Linked DNA regions of Oryzias latipes. The protein of the gene in region 1 interacts with the protein of each later gene in a biochemical or structural test. Links are inferred from orthologs where the notes say so. Each region holds a gene or a part of one and is shown in the gene's direction. Other genes may lie near its edges.

The links.
Region 2: the proteins of nek2 (region 1) and ppp1cc interact in far-western blotting, tested with the Homo sapiens proteins (2 studies listed by BioGRID and IntAct). The link is inferred for Oryzias latipes from reciprocal best matches to the Homo sapiens genes NEK2 and PPP1CC.

Annotation. Positions count from the first base shown.
Region 1 is NC_019882.2:6,332,388-6,336,309, forward strand, and holds the start of nek2 (serine/threonine-protein kinase Nek2), read left to right. Parts: upstream 1-886; 5' UTR 887-1,116; coding exon 1,117-1,212; intron 1,213-1,572; coding exon 1,573-1,790; intron 1,791-1,871; coding exon 1,872-2,112; intron 2,113-2,244; coding exon 2,245-2,327; intron 2,328-2,412; coding exon 2,413-2,539; intron 2,540-2,612; coding exon 2,613-2,847; intron 2,848-3,389; coding exon 3,390-3,444; intron 3,445-3,546; coding exon 3,547-3,614; intron 3,615-3,878; coding exon 3,879-3,922. UniProt on the Homo sapiens protein: Protein kinase which is involved in the control of centrosome separation and bipolar spindle formation in mitotic cells and chromatin condensation in meiotic cells.
Region 2 is NC_019867.2:25,506,086-25,510,007, reverse strand, and holds the start of ppp1cc (serine/threonine-protein phosphatase PP1-gamma catalytic subunit), read left to right. Parts: upstream 1-1,341; 5' UTR 1,342-1,663; coding exon 1,664-1,718; intron 1,719-2,350; coding exon 2,351-2,482; intron 2,483-3,188; coding exon 3,189-3,419; intron 3,420-3,600; coding exon 3,601-3,705; intron 3,706-3,922. UniProt on the Homo sapiens protein: Protein phosphatase that associates with over 200 regulatory proteins to form highly specific holoenzymes which dephosphorylate hundreds of biological targets.

The DNA of each region.
Region 1 (3,922 bases):
TGTCCCAGACGCTGCATCCATCTCCAGTACGGATCACACGTTCACAAAAACCAGCTGTCGTGGTTAGGATTTGCTCCAGTCACGCTTCAATTTCACGGGCTGGAAATTACCAACATGCTACTTCCCACCTGTCAATCTGTCACAGCACCAGAAAAGGGATGAAAAGGTGCACAATGCTAGAGATGATCCAAAGCCGTTTGAATGTTTTCGCTCTGTGTTTCAGTCTGAAAAATACAATGTGACGCCAGCATTTTTTTCCTTAAACCGTCGTGCCAGAAGGCATCCTGCTGCAGTGAAGCAATGAAGTGAATTCAGAGCCATGGCAGATGTAGGAGCACTGTGAGAGGTCACTGTCTTTCACTGCCCTGCAGGTCAAATCAAGGGACCGATGACTGTAGGATCTGCTTCCCATCCATCTTAGAATGCATGCTTAGAAAATGCTGTTGGATGAGCCAGTGACCTTTAAGTACATTTACAAGCTACCGACAGGGTTAAATTTATTAAATTCAATCGAAGGATTGTTCTCATGTGACTAGTTATTTTAAATGCAAAAGAAAAAAGTGCACTTGGCTTTATTTGAAAAATCAATTTATATGTGGATAATACGAAAAAAGTGTTTTGTAGCAATATTGTTTCCCAAATTGTTCCCCACGTTCCCCAAATAAACGTTTTATTTGTATCTAGTATGTTCAATTATATGTCAACAAATCCGTAAATCTACTGCTTGTTTTTGGTGCCCTCTAGTGGACAGGGAATAAACATGCTTCTTCCCGCTCTAATCTCGCGGGTTTTCAGCTCTTAGCAACGTGAACAAATGCGTCCTTGTTTGACCAATCAGAGACCGTCGTGCCCGTGGGAACGAGCCAATTAGAGGTAAGAATTCTGGCACCGATTTAAACGGAGAAGCAGCACTTCCTGTGTTTTCAACTGATGCCAAAGAACACGAGTGTTTTGAGGAGATCGGCTTTGGACTTCTTTATTATCTGGATGAGCAAAAAACATAATTTAAGTAACTACTTGAATTAGATGTTCAACTTTTCTAAGGCCTATCTTTACATTTGACGCTAACGTGAAGTTTGGAAACTTTTAACGTTGGTTTCGGTTGACGAAGGCAAGATGCCGTCCTGTGTTGATGACTACGAAGTGCTGTACACGATAGGCTCGGGCTCCTATGGAAGATGCCAGAAAATAAAACGAAAGAGTGACGGGAAAGTGAGTATTTATGGCACAAGACACGCATACAGTATTTTCTTAAATAAAGATACATAAATACACGGTGTGAATGTTATCTAATTGATAAGTCATGAAAAAAAAAACAATGACTTGCTTCTCTGTAAATCAATAACGACACAAATGTACTTTAATATTTGGGAAATTACAGTTTTTCTGACATTAATTTCACAAGAAAAAATCTTTAAACATAATTCAGTATCAAGGAAATGTAGCATTTAAATGTTTTTTGTCATTTATCAGTAAAACATAATATTTTTTACTCAAACACTTGAACTTTAAGTTTGAAAAAAGGACTAAGATGAACATGTTCTTGATGGTTAAAGCATCTCTGCTCTCTAGATTCTTGTGTGGAAGGAGCTCGATTATGGCACCATGGCTGAGTGTGAGAAACAGATGCTGGTCTCAGAGGTCAACCTCTTGAGGGAACTCAAGCACCCAAACATTGTGAGGTACTACGACCGCATTATAGACCGCCGTAATACCATGCTGTACATCATCATGGAGTACTGTGAAGGTGGCGATCTGTCTTGTCTCATCAGCAAGTGTATCAAAGAGAGGTAAATAGAGCAAATGGGAAGAAAGAAAAAGCAGTCATCCTCTTTCTATCTGCATCATCATGTGTTGTTTTTAAATGGCAGGAAGTACTTGGAGGAGCAGTTTATCCTGCGAGTCATGGTGCAGCTTTCTCTGGCACTAAAGGAGTGTCACCGGCGGCGCGACGGCAGAGCCACCGTCCTTCATCGGGATCTAAAACCAGCCAACATCTTCCTCGATGCAAACCAGAACGTAAAACTCGGCGACTTCGGTTTAGCTCGGATTCTGAACCACGACACCAGCTTTGCAAAGACATTTGTTGGCACACCATACTACATGTCTCCAGTAAGTTATTTAACATTTTTGGCTTTTTTTAAATTATTTTTTCTCTAAAAAAAATCTCTAAAGGACATTTACAAGGTAAAAAAAATATTGTACTTGTTATTGATTAGTTTTTTACACTTTCTATTCATTCAGGAACAAATAAATAGGATGTCATACAATGAAAAGTCAGATATTTGGTCATTGGGATGTTTGCTGTATGAACTCTGCGCATTATCGTAAGTTTTTTTTTTTAAGCTTTTCCATCCGCTCCCTCGGCTGTTTGATCTAATGAATTCATGTTTGGATTTTTTCCTCTTTGAGGCCTCCATTCACTGCTTACAACCAGAAGGAGTTAGCAGAGAAGATCAGGGAAGGAAAGTTTAGAAGAATTCCTTTCCGTTATTCCGAGGAACTGAACTCTCTTATCAGCAGAATGCTCAACTTGAAGGTCTGAAATAAAGGATTGATTGTTTTCATCCTGCAATAGACGATCTGCTGAGCACCAGTCTGCTTTTTGACAGGATTACCTGAGGCCGTCTGTGGAGTCTATTCTTCAGAGCAGTCTGCTGAGTGTCGTGGTCGAGGATGAGCAGAGAAAGTCAGAAGTTCGACCCCGAAGGAAGTCGGCAGACTCCAGCAGCCCCCCGCAGAGGCTGAGTGAAGCGCCCCACGTCTCAGCGGTGGAGCTCAGGCGGAGGGAACAGGCTCTGCGGGACAGGGAGAAAGCACTGAAGGAGCGCGAGGAGAGGCTGGAGAGTAAGGCTTTAAGTTATTTCTGAGGCTAAATCAAGGGGAGAATATAGTTCTTTGGTTATTCTGAGTGCAGCGGCCTCCATTCAATGAGAAACCAGTCCTTTGGATTTGACTTATCAGAGTCTGAGATACTTTTCTGAAATTGTGAAACAACATTTGAGGCCTTGAACTGTTCCGCTGCCAAATTGCACAAGAACTAGAAAACATTTCTCTGTTCCCACGCATGGGTTCATCCCAAAGAAAGGGGTTTGGGGTGTCTTGCTCTCTTAATAATTATAAGCAGCCCTTTTCGAAGCAATCTTTGATTAATACATTTATTCACAAATGCTTCAATCTGGTAGATTTTATATTTGCTGTACTTGTTTCTGATGTTCCTTATAAAACGCTTGAGGAGTCGGAACGTGATTATCCATCCTCTCAACCAAAGTGTTGCCATCACATCTGTCCACACACAAAAGTTTGAAATGCAAGGTGTTTTTTTCTAAACTTTGTTTTCAACAATAATCTCTCTTTTTGTACAAATAAATTGTGTTTTCTGTTGTCAGGAAGGGAGCAACAGCTGTGTGTTCGTGAACAGCTCACAAACGAAAGGCTTGCAAGGTAGTCTCTCTTTTTGTCTGTTGCATAATGTAACAACTGCTGGTTTTTGAATTATCGTGTAAAATCCTTGAGTCAATTCTTACTTTTTATGTTCTGTTTTAGAGCAGAGAGTTTACTGAGAAATTACAAGCTGCAGCAGCAGAAGGACCTGATCTTTCTCGAAGACATAGGTAGGGGAATCCAACAAAGACCTCTGGACTTACTGAACTTAGATACAGCTGGGCTATGAATTTATGAATGAATGAAATATTTATTGTGTTTATATCAAGTAAATAAAGTATCTTTTTTTTGTAATCTAACAATGAACTTTTATTCAATAAACAAGTTTTAAAGCCATTCTCAGCTCAAACCAAATTCTTGACAAAAGAAATCTGCCTGATTATTAAAAAGCGCTTTCAAGTCGTGTTAATCAGATCCCTGCTGTTTGATTTTAGATGCGGAGATTTTGTCTCCTGGGAAGAAGAAGGTCCACTTTGCT
Region 2 (3,922 bases), on another chromosome or scaffold:
TGGAAAACACTCAGAGCAGGACTTAGTTTGAGCCGGTTTTACCAAGTTTCATTTTAAAGCACACTCTTCTAGGAAATGTTTTCATTCTTCCTTTTTAAACTGTCAAGCTTGAATTCAAACCTAAAGTTAGTTGTGCCAAAAACCTTTAAATTGAAGCTTCCGAAGTCGCTGACTTTTGTTAACCATTAATTTTTTCCCCACATTATTCATGCTATTTCTAGCTTGCTAGATATTTTTTTGAATAGGCAAAGTACTTTTATAACAATATTTTCATATCTTCACAGTTATAAATTCAAATTATGCGGATCATATTTCAGAAAATGTATAAAGCCCTCAACTGACTTGCTGGTTATTTCTCGTAAAGGGAAGGACAGAGACCTCTAAAATGACAATGAATCCCAGTCAAGCATCTGTACTGATTATTTATATACTGATAAGATGCATCTTTTTCTAAAACAGCAAACCGAATACTATTGAATTTGAAAAGAGAAACTTACTCATAGTTATTAATTTATTGTATTTACTAAATACATTTTTTTATTTTGCTCCAAAATTATGAATCGACATAATACTTATATGTTTAGATTTGGATCACATAAGAGTCAGGGAATGAATCACAAAAACAAAACAAAAAATTGTAGGTTTTTTTTTTTTTTTTGGATGGCCTTTGATAAGCATGAGGCTTCAGCACAGTCTTTTTTTATTAATGTTGATTATTGTTTAAAGGAAAAAAAACAATTACCTTTAAAAGACCAAATAAACATAAAAAATTACATAACATTTTTATCTCTGATTTAAACTTTCCACATAAATATAGATAGTATTCGTGACACTAACTATCCATAAAAACAGTTGGTTCTGGTTTTATTATGAGATGCTAATAAAAGTAGAAAAATATTTCTTAAAGCATTTTGATATGTGTTGCTTTCACTTTATCAAAAATGAAACCAGAGCTGAAGAACAATCCCAGAAATTAGCTTGTTTAGTTCTTAAAATCAACATAGTCTATTTACTTTAGGGGGTAAAGAGGAAAAAAACTCCATCAACCTATAGTACAACAGCAAAGTAAAACAAGCCCTTTTATTATAAACATTCAAATGGAGTAAAAGAAAATGTATAAATGTGCAAATCATTACGTCAAACCTCAAATTACCATATTGTAGCAAAACATGTGATTTATTTTGCTGTCATAAACTGCTTTTTGAAACGAGTAAATGAAGTCTTGTTGGTTCTATACAGAATGGTGAAACATTATTTTGAGAAGTTGGCGCGCTCCTTCACGCTGCGTTCCCCGTTCCGTCCAGTAGGGGGCAGACGCAGCGCGGCAGCTATGTTCCGAAGGTGCGGCAGAGGAGATAACAGACGGGACACCATCACCAGCTAACAGCTAGAGCCCGTGACGTCCTCCTTCAAGTCCCGAACGCTCAACAAAACCCGCCGCCGGATGGGATTATTTTTAACGTCTGCGACGTGCAAATAACCTAATTAGGATTTAATATTATATATTCATCCCCCCCGCGCGTGCGTCCGACTAACATATCTGAGGTTGAACCGGAAAATCAGCCGAGCTAGCTAATTCTACGGTAACTAGCAGGCTAGCTTTCACAGGAGTTAGCGTAAAGATCTAGATTAGACAGAGACGACTTTAACGCAGGCGCTTGCAATGGCTGATGTTGACAAGCTCAACATAGATAGTATAATCCAACGGCTTTTAGAAGGTAAGGAAATTATCATTTTTTTGCTTTTATGGTTGTTTGTGCTACACATCTGACAAAAAAAAAACAACTAGCGTAGCGACGCCGGTTTTTTTTTACGCACTCGATAACACATAAAGATAAATACGTATTTTTTTATAATTAGCTGAATTCTGTTTTACAGAGATTGTTGGTGTTTCAAAAATGCACAAAAGCGCATTATAATCACCGTGTTGTAAAGCGTAAATGGTGTCTGTAACGCACAACCCCGGGATTGTAATGTTCAGGCTCTGCAGATGTTCTTATTTATAGTAGTCATTTAAGTGTCTGTTTCTATTTGTAAAAAGACCATCATATCATTTCATGTTGTTTTGGCTTAATGTTATCTCATTTCAGGTTTGGTGAAACTAAAGTACGACGTGTTTTTGTTATCACAAAAAAAAATCTGTGTATCATTTACCGTCAAAGACACAACACCCATAGATGCTGTAAAAGACCATAAAATGACTAAAAAGAGCATTTTGAATTCAGAGCTTGCTAAACATTAAGTGATTTTGTCACGGTCTTAATACAAACTGTGCAGGGCATTGCTGACCTGACAGGAACTGTACTTTTTTTTTTTTTTCCTGACTGTTGTTTGTGTTTTTTCCTTGCAGTCAGAGGAGCAAAGCCCGGCAAGAATGTGCAGCTGCAGGAGAACGAGATCCGTGGATTATGCCTCAAATCTAGGGAGATCTTTCTCAGTCAACCCATTCTCCTCGAGCTTGAGGCCCCTTTGAAGATTTGTGGTATTGTTTGTTTGTATTAGGCTTAATTGCTCACTCTGATGAAAGTTGTGTTAACATGTTCTTGTGGGCTTTTTCTAATGATGGAGGACATATGTTGACAAAATTAAGCTTAAAATGTGCATTTCTGAGTATTTCCTTATTGAAATAGTAGAAGCAGAAAGAAAAATGCAGTTGGAAAACGCTTGTAGCTGTGACGTAGGTGCTACCATCAGCAAGCAACAAGTTCCCCCGCTCTTTTAACGTATCCACTTGCAAATAACTAGATCTATGTTCGTCTTTGTTTTCTGTGTCTGAGCTAGTATTTGACTCTAAACTGTATGGTGGATAGCTGCAATATTGCTAGCCATTTTGTTATTTTATGTTGGGGTTGTGAGTGACTGTGAGCTAGCGGGAGAATGTGTAAACACATAGATAATGGGAAGTAGGGGTGGGCTAACTCTATACCAACAGTTCCACAATTCAGAAAGCATCCTCGGAATTGCCCACAACTCAAGAGGCAAATTTAGAATGAACTCCTGCGGAAACTATGTTCTAGAAAACAACACAGGTTGTTTGATTTTGGCTTTAAAAAAAGGCTTAATCATAATTTAAAAATACCACAGAACATTTTCCCAAACCGGAAAAGATGATTGGAGGGGTGCTTCTAATTAACAAAGGAATGAATGTGTGTTCATCAGTTTGGTTTCCTGTATTCTGTATCATTCAGGTGATATTCATGGGCAATACTACGACCTGCTCAGGCTGTTTGAGTATGGGGGCTTCCCTCCAGAGAGCAACTACCTGTTTCTGGGTGACTACGTGGACAGGGGGAAGCAGTCTCTGGAAACAATCTGTCTTCTGCTGGCCTACAAAATAAAATATCCAGAAAACTTTTTTCTGCTGAGGGGAAACCACGAGTGTGCTTCAATCAACAGAATATATGGCTTCTACGATGAGTGTGAGTGGTTTTATATTGACTTTAGAGAGGCTTTTGGACACGTGCACCTTGATGCACAGCTGAACCCTGATCTTTACACATAGTTGCTGTGGCTGATAAAGATGTTTATGGCCATTTAATTGCATGTTGGATTAGAAAACACCTTCTTACATAATCAAAGACATCTGTCGTCACTTTTTAGGTAAAAGGAGGTACAACATCAAACTCTGGAAGACTTTCACCGATTGCTTTAACTGCCTTCCTATCGCTGCAATTGTTGATGAGAAGATCTTTTGCTGTCATGGAGGTGGGTTTTTATGTTTTATTCATAGCAGCATGGTTACACCCTGCATGTTTGTAACAATATTTACACATAATGTCAACGTTCCCACTGTGGCAAAGTTGAATGTCGAAAGTAGCGCAGCATTGACGTCAGCATTTGTCATTGTGAAACGCTGCCTATGCAGTTTGTCAGCTACTTCTTGGACTCACTTGCATGTGATAGGACATGGTGTCAAATCCGC